4 linked regions of the Arabidopsis thaliana genome follow. The main gene of each other region encodes a partner of the protein of the gene in region 3 in a complex. Each region holds a gene or a part of one and is shown on either strand. Other genes may lie near its edges.

Region 1 (4,180 bases), 1.6 Mb from region 3:
ATCATGTTTGGGCCAGAATTAAAATTGTACAACTATAAGAATTAATTGACACACGACAAAATACACTACATGCAGTGATGCAGATCTTTTTTTTGTTTAAATAAAAATGTTACATCATATCTCCTGTCATGTGTTCCTAACACACACACAAAAAAAAGAAATATCTGAAAATTAAACTTAAATTTGAAAAGAAAACAAAAACAATAAACCACACGTGTGGTTTACAATTACAAGCTCGAAGAGGCTTTGAAACATGGAAGCACGAAGGTTACTGACAAAGACATGACAAGCTCTCCTTCTTCACCTCTGCTAACTTATTTTTTGTTTTTAAAGATTGATTAGTTTTGGTTTTTGTCAGGTAGAATCGTGCAGAAGCGTATTTCCCGCTAATTGTTCCTCATCAGACTCACTTTCCAGTCTATACGACCAATTAATTTAGCCCCAATTGACTAAATTTTTTATACTTAAAAATAATAAATATTCACTCTGACCAACTTGCGACCGAAGAAATCAAGAAAAGCAAATTAAGATAGTTTACCAAACATAATTATTTATATTTTTAAGACATCGGATGTCGTCAACAATAAATTTCTGAAGGAGACAATTGCTCCTAACATGATCGTTCAATGATTCAGAACACAAGACAACAAAGAAGTACATAACATATATTATATATATGGAAGCTAGAGAGTATATATAATGTTGCATGACTGATATAAGAAAATATATAATGTGTATGTAAAGTGGTTTATGATTCACAAGTTAGTTTTCTACTTAGTAACAGCTTCTTCAAGCTCTCTTAAGCCACCAACCTTCTGTTCAATTTCTTCGATAAGTTCTTCACGCCATAGCTCCGCTCTTGCTTTCTCTTCTATGTCTTCTTGCTGCATCATATAACCCAAAACACAATAACAACTCTATCCAATCTTATAATAGTTGTACACATTGTGAATCTGTGATGATATACCAAAGGTCAATGGCCCGAGCAAGCCCAGCCCGACCCAACTTAGGATCAATGTTACCTACCATCAGATCTGTTAACGTTTGAATTATTATATCAAGCCCAACCCGGCTCAAACTTACTAAGCATGATTGATCTATCAATAGGATGGATCAATGTTACCTACCATCTATCAGATTGTGACTTTCGTTTAGATGATCAAGGTTGTGGATTCATATTTTTGGGTGCATATATACCAACGGTAAACGCTAACCTAAAAGCCACCTATTTTTCTTTGTTTAGGGAGGTTTATCGCATGCTGAGACACATGGAGGAGTACTCAAAACCGGCTCTGAACAGGTCTACATGGCCTACTAAGACCAAGGTGGGATAGTCTGAGGTCAAACTAGATCTGAACTGGTCCACAGGGTCTAGTAAGACCACAGCGGGTTGGTCGGTCCATTGCAACATCCCTAGTTATAATTTGTATGCATTTCTAAGTTTTTTTCTTTCTTTCCTAATAGTATTAGAAAGGGAGAGATACATACAGTTTCATAGACCCAATATCCAGTTCCATCCCCTCCATCTCCACGGTACTCCTCTGAGTCGTAGAATGGATCCTGTATTGATCCAATATCACAAAGTACTATTAAGATCCCAATGCAGCAAATGTATCAAAAGATTCAGTTTGAGTTGTTGTTTTCATACTTTTGCTGAACCGAAGTACAAACATCCCCAACAAGTGAACATGATGTAGAACATATCTGCCATATCAAGATCAATATCAAAACATAAGAAAAAGAAGAAAAAAAAGTCTAAGAAAGAAAATAAAATCTCTCAAGAAACCCCAAGTGTTTAACTTACAAACATTCTTGATAGCTTTATCACTTAGATGCCACACGTGTTTCTCTGTAATGATATCACGCATTCCTTCTATTTGTTGAACCATCACAGCCATTAATGGCAAATCATGTGGCAATGCCTTTCTTACACATAAGCTTCCTCTCATCAAATTCCTTTCCCTCTTCTCATTAACATTCTTCTAATTTTTCAAATTCTAAGACGTAAATTCACAAGAATATGGAGATTTTTTTTCTAATTTTAGTCTTAGTTAGAGAAAATTACTTACAGATAGCCAATATCCATGATTCGGTCCTGAATTCTGCTTCGGCTACAACACAATACACAATTCTTAAACTTTTTTTCGTAATGAAATATTTTTGGTAAGAATATAAAATAATATGTACCGAGTGATTGTAGGAAGAAGGAATATGAAGATTTGTGAAGGTGAAACTTGTGAAAGCTTCAGCCATTGTTACTTCTTGATGGTGGCAATGGAGAAGAAAAAAAAAAAATGTTGGTGTAATCTTTTTTATTTTTTCATTTATTTTAATCTTTAAGATTAGATTTTTTGAGGCAGAAAATGTGTGGATAAGGGAATTGGTATCGTCCACTCTTCACTTTTGTGATAAACAAAATAAAAAAATAACGTACGTTAGCAATCACATCGCATAACACTTTTTTTGTCTTTTAAAAGCCCAATTTAGACAATCACAGTACACATTTTAGCCTTCTAAAACGCTCAGGTTGGGAACAACTATTTGCCTTAAAGAGTGGTAAAGATATTTCCAGCAAAATTCAACTACAAACTTTCGTATTTTACCCGTCCAACAAACTTTCCATTCGCGCAGGTTAGCAATCACTAAACACGTTCACTCCTCTAGACGTGCAAGTTAGTAACCACACTAAAATTGCTAATAAATCTTTGGTTGGTGAAATTCAAACTTTCCGCTTATGTCTCTTCCCAAATACATCATTTGTTGAATAGCGTACGTTGGCAACTATTGCCAAACTTTTAATGATATTTCCATCTAATTCAACTTCCTATGCGCGCATGTTAGCAATCATCCCAAATACATCATTCGTTGAATAGTGTATGTTCTATTTGCCAAACTTTCAATGATGTATATCCATCTAAACCAGCTTTTATTCGCGCATGTTAGCAATCACAATAACACGTCTACTCTTCTTAGCGACTAGTATTTTGTCAAAAGTCGGAAGAAAATCTCCGGCCAAGTCAACTTCTATCGCTTTAAAAAGCGCATGTTAGCTATTAAAAAGCGCACGTTAGCATCATTTTCGGGAAATTGCTAATCAAACTTTCCACTTTCGTCTTCTTCCCGTGTATATCTTTAATCTCCTCTGTTTGGTGACTATTATCCAATTTCCACCGATCTTCTCCTCATAAAAACACCTCTTCCTCAACGAATTTTTTATCCATGAGTCGCATAATGGGATTGTTCGATCTCGAGAAACACTTCGCCTTCTACGGTGCTTACCATAGCAATCCGATCAACATTCTAATCCACATCATCTTCGTTTGGCCAATCTTCTTCTCAGTTTTACTTCTCCTCCACTCGTCGACCCCAATTTTCGACCCCTCTCAATTAGGGTTTTCTCAATCGTTGACCCTCGACGGCGTTTTGCGATTTAACGTTGGGTTTATATTCGCCTTGATTTATGCTCTGTTCTATATCGGTTTGGATAAGAAATCTGGATTTGTAGCTGCTCTTATGTGTTTCTCTTGCTGGGTTGGTTCCAGTTTTCTTGCTGTTCGACTAGGATCTTCTCTTGCCTTAAAGGTTAGATTTTTTTTCTCTAATTTCAATTTAGGGTTTTTGAAAAAACTTCATTTTTGGAGAAAATAATTGCGTAGAAGCATGTTTATGAGGGTATATGACTATGTGTATCCATGTGTTGCTCTATGTGTATATTTATATGATGTGAGTGTGGTTCATGCATTTATTGTTCATTGTTTTCTATGCTTTGACTTGAAAGTTCGTTTATATCATTGGTTATGCTCGGGGAAGAAGAAATAGATTTATTTATATCATTAGTCCTCTCTATCTGTTGTCTATGGGTCCCTTCATTAGCTGTTAACGTTGAGACAGCAGTACTAATATCATGTCTCTAGCTTTGAACATTCATGATTAGTAGTTATTGCAGTTTGTTCTGCAATTGTCCACCTTTGCACGGTTCTGATTCTTTGGTCCGGAGACTTGTCATGTTTTTAGTGTTGTTGACTCATTGGTTAAGAGGATTTGATGTGTGCTTGGACGGAAACAAGTGTTGTTCTTGACCACCAACATTTGGATGGTCTCAGATAATTAGAATCTACATCACTTGTTTAACTAAAGTTTGGTTTTTCTTCCATAGTATTTGAGACATCTGTAACTTAGG
Region 2 (3,243 bases), on a different chromosome or scaffold from region 3:
AATCAGTAGTGAGTTTTGATTCGAACTCTTTTCCCAGGTCTGTAACAAGCAAAAAGCTGTAATGCTAGCAGATATGGCACACATCAGTGGTTTGGTTGCTGCTAATGTAATCCCTTCACCGTTCGACTATGCTGATGTTGTAACCACCACAACTCACAAGTCACTTCGTGGACCCCGTGGAGCCATGATTTTCTTCAGAAAGGGTGTTAAGGAAATTAACAAGCAAGGGAAAGAGGTAAAAAAGAAAAAGAAGCAAAATTTGAACCAAAATGTTTTAGATTTATGTATAATCTTTCACGTCATTCATTTGTTGTCTTGAAAGGTTTTGTATGATTTTGAAGACAAGATCAACCAAGCTGTCTTCCCTGGTCTTCAAGGTGGTCCACACAACCACACTATCACAGGACTAGCTGTTGCTTTGAAACAGGTACGGTGAGGCACGGAATGGAACTAACGTTGCTTATTGGATTTGCGGTTTCTGTAACCTTCAAATGGTTTGAAAATGCAGGCAACTACTTCAGAGTACAAAGCATACCAAGAACAAGTCCTGAGTAACAGTGCAAAGTTTGCTCAGGTACTAATCCCGTGAAGGAAAGAAAAACACATATGGCGTAGTATCTACTTTGATTATATCTCTACATTGTTGTTTCGTGCAGACTCTAATGGAGAGAGGATATGAACTTGTTTCTGGTGGAACTGACAACCATCTGGTTCTAGTGAATCTAAAGCCCAAGGTCACTTGATCTTTTTTTGTATATAATCTTCTTTTATATTTCTTAGTTAAAACTCATTTTTTATTCGATTTTGTTTGCAGGGAATTGATGGATCTAGAGTTGAGAAAGTGTTGGAAGCTGTTCACATTGCATCCAACAAAAACACTGTTCCTGGAGATGTTTCTGCCATGGTTCCTGGTGGAATCAGAATGGGTAAAAATCACATTTAACCATTTTTCTTTTTGGTATTCGAATGGAGTTCTTCTTGATATCCTCTGCCATTGTTATTTTCAGGTACTCCTGCTCTCACTTCCAGAGGCTTTGTTGAGGAAGACTTTGCCAAAGTAGCTGAATACTTCGACAAAGCTGTGACAATAGCTCTCAAAGTCAAATCTGAAGCTCAAGGTTTTTACTTCTCTGATCACGATGCTATGCTTTCCGTTCTTATATACAATGATTGAACTCATTTGTTATGTTTCTAAAACCAGGAACCAAGTTGAAGGATTTCGTGTCAGCAATGGAATCCTCTTCAACCATCCAATCCGAGATTGCGAAACTGCGCCATGAAGTCGAGGAATTCGCTAAGCAGTTCCCAACAATTGGGTTTGAGAAAGAAACCATGAAGTACAAGAACTAAACTGTTTCACCCCACAAGTGTTTTCTGTTATGCTTTGAATTCCCATGGAATGTATAGATGATACATGTAAAACTCTATTTTCACGCTATGCGAAAAATAATGATCTGTTAAATTTTCTCTCTATACATCAAAAAGAAATATACTTAGACAAAAAAAACACATACAACAAAACAGTGAATTCCCTAAAGAAGATTGTCTTTAGCTCACAAGTGACTTAAGAGTAACCACAAAATACCAACAAAACGAGAAAGGGATAAATAAGAAACTAGAAGTTGGGAGAGGCTCATCCACAAGCTGTGGTCATTTCTCAACCTCATCAAATCTCTTTACAAGAATATGGTTCTGTAACCGGACAACATCTCAAAACTTGTTCTGTTTTTTTTTTTTCATTTCTTAGACAGAAAAATGGTTGCAGCATTCTCTTACACTGCCTGCACCAAGCTTTCTCTATTACATCCTTCTATGGTTGCTCAAATCCGACCAAGAACAACACAAAAGGCGTTCGTGGTGACAAATCCGGAACAAGACAGTACTCTTGAAGTACAAGAAACAGAGACACTCAAAGAAGAGCAATCAACAGAGAAGATGAAGAAGCAGCCAACACCATTGAGACCAGTGGAGAAACAGCTGAACGTGAAGAGCAAGGGTATGGGCGATTTTGGTGGTCAGTGGCTAAGCAGTGTCACACGTCACGTTAGGATCTACGCTGCTTATATTGATCCAGAGACTTGTGAGTTTGACCAGTCACAAATGGATAAACTCACTTTGATTCTTGATCCTACTGAAGAATTTGTGTGGGATGATGAAAGCTGTAACAAGGTCTATTCTTATTTCCAAGAACTCGTCGATCACTACGAGGTAACGATAACAATAAACGAACGAAACATTCATCTAAAAGTTAGACTCATTTCAAGAAGACCTTATAATATTGTTTTTGAACAGGGAGCACCATTAACGGAGTACACATTGAGATTGATAGGATCGGACGTAGAACATTACATAAGGAAGATGTTGTTCGATGGAGAAATACAATACAATATGGATGCAAGAGTTCTTAATTTCAGTATGGGAAAGCCTCGTGTACAATTCAATACCAGTAACATTGAAGGTGGTGGAGATGGTCAGCCTCAAGAGGACGCTTAGTGAAACAAACTCTATTTTATAATCATGTAATGGGAATATAAATATATTGTAGTATGCTTTTTAATTTTGTCTATCACAAAGTAACATATGTATATATCATGACATATGCTATAATTATTTTTGTAATAATCAATCTTAAGTTTCTTTGTCTTTTCTTGTTAATGTAAGGTCTTAAGGTCATGTGAATATGTAATGTCAAAGAAACTCAATTCTGGTCTTGCTCATTCATGTTCCTTACTCCTTGCCTCTTTTTAAAAAGATTTCAAACTGATGCAAAACTTGTTAGTTTTAACATTTTTACCCAAAAAGTTATATTAAGTTTTTGAATTTGTCAACGTTTACTAATTATTTACAATTAAAACCCTGTTCTTCTTATCCTCTGGTGTTTCTCGTTGTTCGTCACCAAGACGAACTTTGTGAGGGAGAAAAAATGGCGAATTTACTGGAAACATCAATCTTTTTCTCCTCTGCTGATAAATTACTGTCTTTCCCGCCTAAGAATTCTCAAACCCATCATCTCCCTTTCTCTGCTTTCATCAATGGAGGAAGAAAGATACGCAAAAGCTCAACTATCACCTTTGCTACCGACACTGTCACTTACAATGGCACTACAAGTAAGCTCATAAACCCTAAATCTCTAATCTTTCTGTCTAATTACCAATAAATTCTATTTCTTTAGATTCCAATTTGTATTAATTGTCACCATTAGATAAGCTAAACCCTTTTCATAGACTAGGATTCGTCTAGTTA
Region 3 (3,417 bases):
TGAATTTGATTGTGTATATATAATAATACTGCTCTGTTTTATAGGTTTTTCGTGGTTGCAAACGCCATTTCTGGTGGATATTTGGTTCTTTCTCTACCTGTGAGTATCTTTCATATCTTCAGTACTCAAGCTAAAACCTCGAGAATCATCTTGCTCGTTGTCGACACGGTAAATATCTCCCTCTTTAAGAGAACAAAACAGGGCACCAAATATCCAACTAACTTGTGACCCAAGAAAGCTAACATTTTAATGAAAACCCATATATAAATTTAAATTTGATCACTCAAAAGTGTTATGATTTATGGTTTCTATATATAATCAGGTGATGCTGGCTTTGGTTAGCTCTGGAGCATCTGCAGCAACAGCCACCGTGTATTTAGCTCACGAGGGGAACACAACTGCTAATTGGCCACCGATCTGCCAGCAATTTGACGGATTCTGTGAACGCATCTCGGGATCTCTCATCGGTTCTTTCTGCGCAGTGATCTTACTCATGCTTATTGTTATCAATTCCGCTATCTCCCTCTCTCGCCACTAAGATATCTATGCACATATATATATCGATCTGATTTTGCAGAGAAATCACGCAAACGAAATGTTTCTTGAATATACATTATTAAGTCTTTTAATTTTATATCTAATGTAACGAGTCCAGAGATTTCATGTGAAGAATGAAGAAAGACATATATACAATACAACTGAATTAAGCAAGAAACTCCACAACATTGTCTATCGATTTCAATGTCTTCTCGTAGTAAAGATAGGACTCGTACACCTTTGGCGTCCGTACATAGAAATCCAACTGTTATATCAAAATTATGAAAGATATCAATATTAACATGTGGTTAAAGTTTGACTTCCATATGATCATGTGTTACAAAACGCAACATTCAGTGTTATTAACAATCAAACCTTAAATTAGCATTAAAAATTACTAATTCTGTTTTTAATTTGTTCATTAATTATATAACGTATACCTCACTCATGTTTTCGACAAGCTCGTTTGCCGCCTGAACGTAATCATTCCGGCGACTCTCCGGCAAGATGTTCATGGCGTTGGTGAGATCCTGAGACAGATAAGCCTGTTTCAATCTTATGTAGAATATAACGTACCTCCACGACATGTGGTCCAACATCTCCCTCATGTCTCTTAATCCTTCAGCCGTCTGTTTTATACGCGCCGCCGCATCCTCAGGTGATAGTCCCGGCATAAAATATTTCTCCTTTATGAATGACCTTGTCCCCCATTTCTCCTGTGCTAATGCTGATGACGTAGCACCGCCGATGACCGTGAATGTTATTAGTGAAGTCAAGGTTCTCCGGCGGGTGAAGATGTCTTGTTGGGGTTCTCCGGTGCAACATACGACGGAGAACGGTTGGTTTACACGGCGATGATAAATTTTCCGGAGGAGATACGGTGGCGGAGTGTTGGTGGTGGTGAAGGAGCTCATTTGATTTTTGTTTTTGTTTTTCTTAAGGATATGAAATGGGAGGAGCTCAAAACTATAATGTCTACTCGGTCTTTCATGTTTTGCCACGTCGGCTGTTATCTCTAAAGTTTTGTATTTTAGAATTTGTGAACATGGGCCCATAAGACTTTAAAGCCCAATATTATGGAAACGACGTCGTCAAATACACTCTGATGACCGAAACGATGTCGTTGACTACGAAATAGAATCAAGTTGTGTTCTCTGTGATGGACATTGTGTTAGTGGTAATCAAATCCGGTGAAAATGGAGCGGAGCCGAGTGACCAGAGAAGCACCGACCGGAACCAGGATCCTGCTTGCTTCACTCTCTGCGATGGTTGCAGAGTCAGTTACGTTTCCGATTGATCTCACAAAGACTAGAATGCAGCTCCATGGTTCGGGATCCGCTTCTGGTGCGCATCGGATTGGCGCTTTCGGAGTCGTATCGGAGATTGCGAGAAAGGAAGGAGTGATTGGTCTCTACAAAGGTCTATCTCCGGCGATTATCAGACACCTGTTCTACACGCCTATCAGAATCATTGGATACGAGAATTTGAAAGGACTCATCGTCAGATCTGAAACTAACAATAGCGAGTCTCTTCCTCTCGCCACAAAGGCTCTCGTCGGAGGATTTTCTGGTGTTATAGCTCAGGTAACGGTGTTTCTTCACCGGTAAATCTTTAGAGTCATGTTTTGACTGTAAATTGGATCTGGATTAACAGTTGCTTAGAGTAGAATTAACATTTCGAATTGAACAATCGATCTCTATGTATAGTTTCCTTTGAATATGTTTCGTAGAAGAAGGTATTAATTAGAAGGAGATTTTGTTTCAAGTTTTATAGGCTTTCAATGTTCGTTTCATTCCAAAGTTAGCTGCTACTTTAGGTTGGTTCAGAGATAAGAACCAATGCAGATCCTAGTCATAGACGTCTCAATGTATTTCACAGATCCTTAATCCAAAATTTGTGCTTGCTTGTTGTCTCCTATGTGTTACAATTAAGTTCTCTCAGATCACTGATTACCTATGGAAACTCGTAGATTTCCGGCGAAGTTAATTATTAAGGATTTTCAATTGTTTTTACGCTACTGAAGTGAGAAATGTAGCTATCTTTTAGGTTGTTGATATCTTTAGAATTGACATTTGAGTGTTGTTTATACCTACACCACACTAAAATGCTTCTTATTGTGTCCATACTAGAAATGCAGGTAGTGGCTAGTCCAGCTGATTTGGTCAAAGTGAGAATGCAAGCAGATGGTAGATTGGTGAGCCAAGGCCTGAAACCGAGGTACTCGGGACCAATCGAGGCTTTTACCAAAATCCTACAATCAGAAGGAGTAAAAGGGTTATGGAAAGGTGTTCTTCCAAACATCCAGAGAGCATTTCTAGTGAATATGGGAGAACTAGCTTGCTATGATCACGCCAAACACTTTGTCATCGATAAGAAGATTGCTGAGGATAACATTTTTGCGCACACTCTTGCTTCTATAATGTCGGGTCTTGCTTCGACAAGTTTGAGTTGTCCAGCTGATGTGGTGAAGACGAGGATGATGAACCAGGGTGAAAATGCTGTGTACAGAAATTCTTACGACTGTTTGGTGAAGACGGTTAAGTTTGAAGGAATAAGAGCTTTGTGGAAAGGTTTCTTCCCGACATGGGCAAGGCTTGGACCGTGGCAGTTCGTGTTTTGGGTCTCCTATGAGAAGTTTAGACTGCTGGCAGGAATCTCTTCCTTCTAGACCTGAGAAACTGGAAAAGCAAATTTGAGATTTGTGTTCTTTAGTTCTTACTTGTTAGTTGTTACACATTTTGTAAGAACCTTGAGAAGTAGCATCAGTTTCTGATTAACGCGAGAAGAGTTATATAAATTTGGGCCCAAAAGTGTAGGCCCATAGATTTATCATTTTTTTTTTGTTGATTAAATTAGATTGGACATCCTAAGCAAAAAAAT
Region 4 (5,041 bases), on a different chromosome or scaffold from region 3:
TCGTGATAGTTTCTTAAATCTCTCTTCAGTCCACCGAGAGTCGAATCGGGAACAACGGATGGGGATTTAGGGTTAGTACTGCCAGATTCGGCCATGTCTCCGATCACTAACAGTGGTTTATTGGACTTGATTTGAGAAGAATCCGTGGTTGCAGTAGAAGCTTCTAGGGTTTTGAAGCAGCTTGAAGTGGGAGAGAGGAGAGAGAGACGTGAGACACGCACGACACACAGACTCTTCAAGTAGTGGGAGCGTCTTTATAGAAAAGTGAGTGGCGCGACTTACAAATAAAACCGTCCAGCTTCCCGGCCCCAATTTCGTAACTCACAGGCCCATCTGTGTTATTAGAGCAACCCTAATGGTTAAACTTTTAATAGGTTTTTTCCAATTTTTTTAATTTTAAAATTTGAGATTTGAATTTAAGAGATTTTGTTGGTCTCTTAATTTTTCTTGGTTTAATGGTAGAAATTTTTAGTGAGTTTCTTATAGTAAAAAATATTATTAAAATGAAAATTATAAATATTCTATTTTATAAAATTTAATAATTAATACAAATACTAAAATTTTAAACCTACAAGAAATGAATATTGAGAATCGGAATAACAATTAGTAGTTAGTTTGATTCCCACCAAATTTGTGTTATATATGCTCAACCAAATCACCTTTCAATTGTTGATGCATAGCCCGATCACGAACTCGAGCACGAGAGACCATAAAATTACCGAGATTTGAAGACATATCTGTAGAGTAGTTAAAATAACTTGTGAAGAGATGGTTGATTCTGGTAGTATGAATTTAGATGCACCAAACGATTTTTTTCAATTTAGTCTTTGATTTGATTATTACGCCCTATGATGAGGAGCTCGACACATATCATCTTTCATCAACATTGACATCGCCATCGTAAATGGAAATAACGAAATGAAAACAATTCAACCGAAATGAAAAGAAAAAAATTGGGTCATATTTTTCCTTCTCTTCCCTCTCCACCAATAGAAGTTTGCCATGTAGGGTCCCTTTGTTGTTTGAAAAATACCGTAAGAGAGAAACAACCCTCTCAATTAAACTGATTTCTAATTTATTTTGGGCTATATAATTCAAGGGACCAACCCTCAAAAGCCCCTTAGAGGCTGCCGTTGGAGTTGGTCTCAGATACAAGGTTTAATTAGTTTTAACTTGCTCTAAAGCCTCTCTACTATAACTTTATTACATTTTGTTTAGTAACAAATGACATTCCCTCTTTTTCTCCCTTTTTGAAATAAATATTCTTTAGATTTACACAATTTTGTTGTTTTTTAGAACTGTTCATCGAAAAATTTCGTCATATTGTCACTAAACTTTTGTAACTTCTAAGAAATTTCCAATATGTTTTCAAAATTTTACCATATAAATACTAATTTTAAGAGAAAATTTGTATCAATAATATGGATTAAAACATGAAGTTAGATTTTTTTTAAAAAGCTTAAAGCCCAATTTTTTTAAAAAAATTGCAAATAATCAGTCTTGAGAATTGAGCATGTTACCAATTCATGTTATACGGAATTAACACTGAACTATATTTCGTTTAACCGTTAAATTATACATGGTACAAAAAAATTGATGTCGTTTACTACTATATAAATATTGTTGATGCCTTTTACTTGCTTGAGCCCAAGATCAACTCTACCTTCTATTTCCGTAATGAATGACAACATATAATCTTATAACTGTATTAATTTATAATTTTTTTATATGACTCGGTTAATTTCCGCGCGATGCATATTTTGTTTTGAAAAAATATTTTTGATTTGTATTTATGGTTTTATTTTCTTATATTAAATAAATATCAGAAATAGTGAACACACTATTTTCTTATAGTAGGTTTGTATTTTAGTTTATGAGATTAGTGTCATTTTGATACGATGAGTTTTTCTTTGTTTGCACTTTGCACAGGTAAATATGCTTCATAGGATCGGCTGACCTGACCCACTCAAAATTGACTCGATGCGAAGCCACGTAACCGGCAGGGGCATAACTGTAAATAACCATGGAATGTATTTCTCAGACTCTTTCGTGCTATCACTCGCTCATCGTCACCTTCACCTTCACCTACCATTTTTGCCAACAAACGCGAGCAAGAGTTTTGAGCTCCAATGGCGACCTTGTCGATGACTCTGGTGCGTTTAATTTTTCCCTTTTGTACTTTTGATTTTGTTTTACCTTTCCGCTTCTTCTGCTTCTCCTGCTCTAATTTTCGGTTATCATCATAGTCAAATCCGAAGTCGCTCTCAGCTCCTCCACGAAGACTTTCTCCGATCAATACCTCCGCTTTCACATCTACCTCTTTCCGATTGCGCACCAAATCTTCCTTCGATTCAATCTCGTTCTCGTCTTCAACTCCCTTCTCCGCCTCATCGCTCCTCCTTCACACGTCTTATACCAAAAGAAACCACCGCTGTTTCTCTGTTCAATCCAATGCTGAGGTTAGGGATTCTCTCATATCTTGTTAGTCACTGATGTCATTTGATGGAATTGGTTGTTTTATTCAGCTTACTCTTAGTTTTTTTTTTCCATTAGATTTACTAAAAGCTATGGAATCATAATATGATGTGGATTTTGTATTCCAGGTGGTTACTGAACCGCAATCGAAAATAACACACAAGGTGTATTTCGATATAAGTGTTGGCAATCCAGTGGGGAAGTTAGCTGGGAGGATTGTTATTGGATTGTATGGTGATGATGTTCCCCAAACTGTGGAGAACTTTCGTGCTCTATGCACAGGTGAAAAGGGATTTGGCTACAAGGGTTCTACATTCCATCGTGTCATCAGAGATTTCATGATTCAGGGAGGAGACTTTGAGAAGGGCAATGTGAGTTTTTCTGGCTGAATTCCTTGGCAGCACCAGTTTCTTGTTAGCTGACTTGCGGTCCATATTATGTTTCTTTTGATTTACTTTGGTTCATCTTATTTTCTGCCAAATCACAAAGTAAAGTAAGCTGTCTCATATCAGGATGGCAGGATGTTTATTAATTTCTTGGATGTGGTACATAGTATAAGTCAAATCTTTCTCGATAAGGAAGGATGCTTAAGTTCTTACTTGTACGGATTTAGAGTCGCTCTTGAAAGCACATGTTTGGGTACATTAATAGGAAAAAGCCTGACCTTTGGAGAGCTTTCTACAGACAATCTTTCTGATAGCTGGCTCTCTGATTTGTAGATCAGTGGCTTTAGAAGAACAACCCCTGTTAATCTTAGACTTTTGTTCTTTTCTATATAGATAATACCTGGGCTGTAGGGAACTTATATACTGGTTCGTGGGTATGCAACTAGCTGTAGCTCGGTAGAAATATATTGTTATTTTCTGTTTCTGCCCATCTCAGTTACCGAAGATTCTTCTAGTAACTGCTAGGAGAATTCCATAATAATGATACAGAAGTCTAATTGTTGAGCAGGGAACTGGAGGTAAAAGTGTATATGGCCGTACATTCAAGGATGAGAATTTCAAGTGTAAGTCTATCCTTTTTCACTTGTTTCCTTCTTCTTCATTCTCCCCAGCTGTGCTTTAGCATTCATATTTATCAGTGGTAATGCATTTTAACTAAACATTTCTGCATTCTCTTTTTAGCTGAGCTGAGTATAATATATACCAAACCTTCAGTTTTATAAAATTCATGAAAGTAATAATGTGCTATACGCTGCAGTATCCCATGTCGGACCAGGAGTTCTAAGTATGGCAAATGCTGGCCCTAATACAAATGGAAGTCAGTTCTTTATCTGCACTATTAAGGTAAAATCTCCCTCTGGTTAAGGCCTATTGTTAAATTAGAAGTTATACGTAGGCAAGCGAGCATCAACAATAAAGAACACAGGTATTACAGTATATAGAATCCAATAATATAACCTAAAGAGTAGAGTTTTGAAATTGGAAACGAAGAACCATCCAAGCTTTGTTGGGAAATTTAGTGTATATCAAATTAATATGCGATAACGATGTGGACAGACGTCATGGTTGGACGGAAGACATGTGGTGTTCGGGCAAGTAATAGAAGGAATGGAAGTGGTGAAGCTGATAGAGGAACAAGAGACAGACAGAGGAGACCGTCCCAGAAAGAAAGTGGTGATAGCAGACTGTGGTCAACTTCCAATGTCTGAAGCTTAAAAGTAAGATCATTTAACCAAAATCTTGTAGACATGAGATGGAGCTTGTTTTTGCATTTTACAACCCTTTCTTTTGTGTAATGGATTTGTATCCCCTTCTTCCAAAAATTTAAGAAAGAAATAGTATTCCGCTGCCGGGTGTTGAACTCATATTTCATTTCATTGGTTTGTTTCGAAATTAACCATTGTGTTATAGCGGTTCAGTTGCATTACTAAGATACAAAATCTGAAGATTCAAGAGTAGTCGATGCAGTTGTGAAATTGGTCTGTGTAATACAGCGGATTTGTTGGTTTGGTATACGAGCAATTTGTATTTAAAGTCCGATCTCTTCATAAAAAAGTAAGAACAACAATTGAAACAAAAAATATTCCGCTGCCCGGATTTGATCCCGGATTTCATTTTGAGTAGTGAAATTGGCCTGTGTGCTACAGCGGACTTGTTTGATTTATATACGAGGGATTTGTTTTTAAAGTCTGATATCTTATTGAAAACAATACTAATTAAAATAATAAGTATTCCGCTGCCGGGGTTTGATCCCGGATTTCATATTGAGTAGTGAAATTGGCCTGTGTGCTACAGCGGACTTTTTGGTTTTGTATATGAGTGATTTGTATTTAAAGTCTGATATCTTATTGAAAACTAACTAATTGAACCAAAAAGTATTACGCTGCCGAGGTTTGAGCCCGGATTTCAAATTCTGTTGTGAAATTGGCATGTGTGCTACAGCGGACTTGTTGAACATGTATCCGATCAATTTGTATATAAAGTCTGCTTTCAGATTAATGAACAATATAATTACTTGTACCTATCACATGTTTGTATTTTAGTGTTCTTTCTTTTTGGTCAACCTTTTCTAGATACAAGATATCTCTGAATACTAGAAGAGCACACCATAAAAAGAAGAC

What was found.
Region 1: PnsL2 (region 3) and PnsB4 share a complex: the UniProt entries of both Arabidopsis thaliana proteins name them as parts of the chloroplast NDH complex.
Region 2: PnsL2 (region 3) and NdhM share a complex: the UniProt entries of both Arabidopsis thaliana proteins name them as parts of the chloroplast NDH complex.
Region 4: PnsL2 (region 3) and Pnsl5 share a complex: the UniProt entries of both Arabidopsis thaliana proteins name them as parts of the chloroplast NDH complex.

The regions. Positions count from the first base shown.
Region 1 is NC_003070.9:6,458,698-6,462,877, reverse strand, and holds PnsB4 (NDH dependent flow 6), read right to left. Parts: upstream 2,476-4,180; 5' UTR 2,254-2,475; coding exon 2,188-2,253; intron 2,112-2,187; coding exon 2,070-2,111; intron 2,035-2,069; exon of another isoform or gene 1,983-2,034; coding exon 1,805-1,982; intron 1,705-1,804; coding exon 1,649-1,704; intron 1,561-1,648; coding exon 1,489-1,560; coding exon of another isoform or gene 1,414-1,488; exon of another isoform or gene 1,035-1,413; coding exon of another isoform or gene 1,029-1,034; exon of another isoform or gene 885-1,028; coding exon 771-884; 3' UTR 534-770; downstream 1-533. Other genes in the region: AT1G18720 (ER membrane protein, putative (DUF962)), read left to right, coding at 3,220-3,582. UniProt on the Arabidopsis thaliana protein: NDH shuttles electrons from NAD(P)H:plastoquinone, via FMN and iron-sulfur (Fe-S) centers, to quinones in the photosynthetic chain and possibly in a chloroplast respiratory chain.
Region 2 is NC_003075.7:17,829,998-17,833,240, reverse strand, and holds NdhM (subunit NDH-M of NAD(P)H:plastoquinone dehydrogenase complex), read left to right. Parts: upstream 1-1,621; 5' UTR 1,622-1,755; coding exon 1,756-2,208; intron 2,209-2,292; coding exon 2,293-2,493; 3' UTR 2,494-2,708; downstream 2,709-3,243. Other genes in the region: SHM1 (serine transhydroxymethyltransferase 1), read left to right, coding at 38-235, 323-427, 509-574, 657-734, 815-926, 1,008-1,118, 1,202-1,350; AT4G37920 (endoribonuclease E-like protein), read left to right, coding at 2,924-3,107. UniProt on the Arabidopsis thaliana protein: NDH shuttles electrons from NAD(P)H:plastoquinone, via FMN and iron-sulfur (Fe-S) centers, to quinones in the photosynthetic chain and possibly in a chloroplast respiratory chain.
Region 3 is NC_003070.9:4,837,919-4,841,335, reverse strand, and holds PnsL2 (PsbQ-like 2), read right to left. Parts: upstream 1,536-3,417; 5' UTR 1,452-1,535; coding exon 978-1,451; coding exon of another isoform or gene 963-977; exon of another isoform or gene 803-962; coding exon 704-802; 3' UTR 539-703; downstream 1-538. Other genes in the region: AT1G14160 (Uncharacterized protein family (UPF0497)), read left to right, coding at 45-168, 323-538; UCP3 (Mitochondrial substrate carrier family protein), read left to right, coding at 1,734-2,120, 2,675-3,205. UniProt on the Arabidopsis thaliana protein: NDH shuttles electrons from NAD(P)H:plastoquinone, via FMN and iron-sulfur (Fe-S) centers, to quinones in the photosynthetic chain and possibly in a chloroplast respiratory chain.
Region 4 is NC_003076.8:4,161,809-4,166,849, reverse strand, and holds Pnsl5 (cyclophilin 20-2), read left to right. Parts: upstream 1-1,926; 5' UTR 1,927-2,129; coding exon 2,130-2,153; intron 2,154-2,246; coding exon 2,247-2,459; intron 2,460-2,603; coding exon 2,604-2,846; intron 2,847-3,429; coding exon 3,430-3,484; intron 3,485-3,678; coding exon 3,679-3,764; intron 3,765-3,977; coding exon 3,978-4,136; 3' UTR 4,137-4,476; downstream 4,477-5,041. Other genes in the region: AT5G13130 (Histidine kinase-, DNA gyrase B-, and HSP90-like ATPase family protein), read right to left, coding at 1-95. UniProt on the Arabidopsis thaliana protein: NDH shuttles electrons from NAD(P)H:plastoquinone, via FMN and iron-sulfur (Fe-S) centers, to quinones in the photosynthetic chain and possibly in a chloroplast respiratory chain.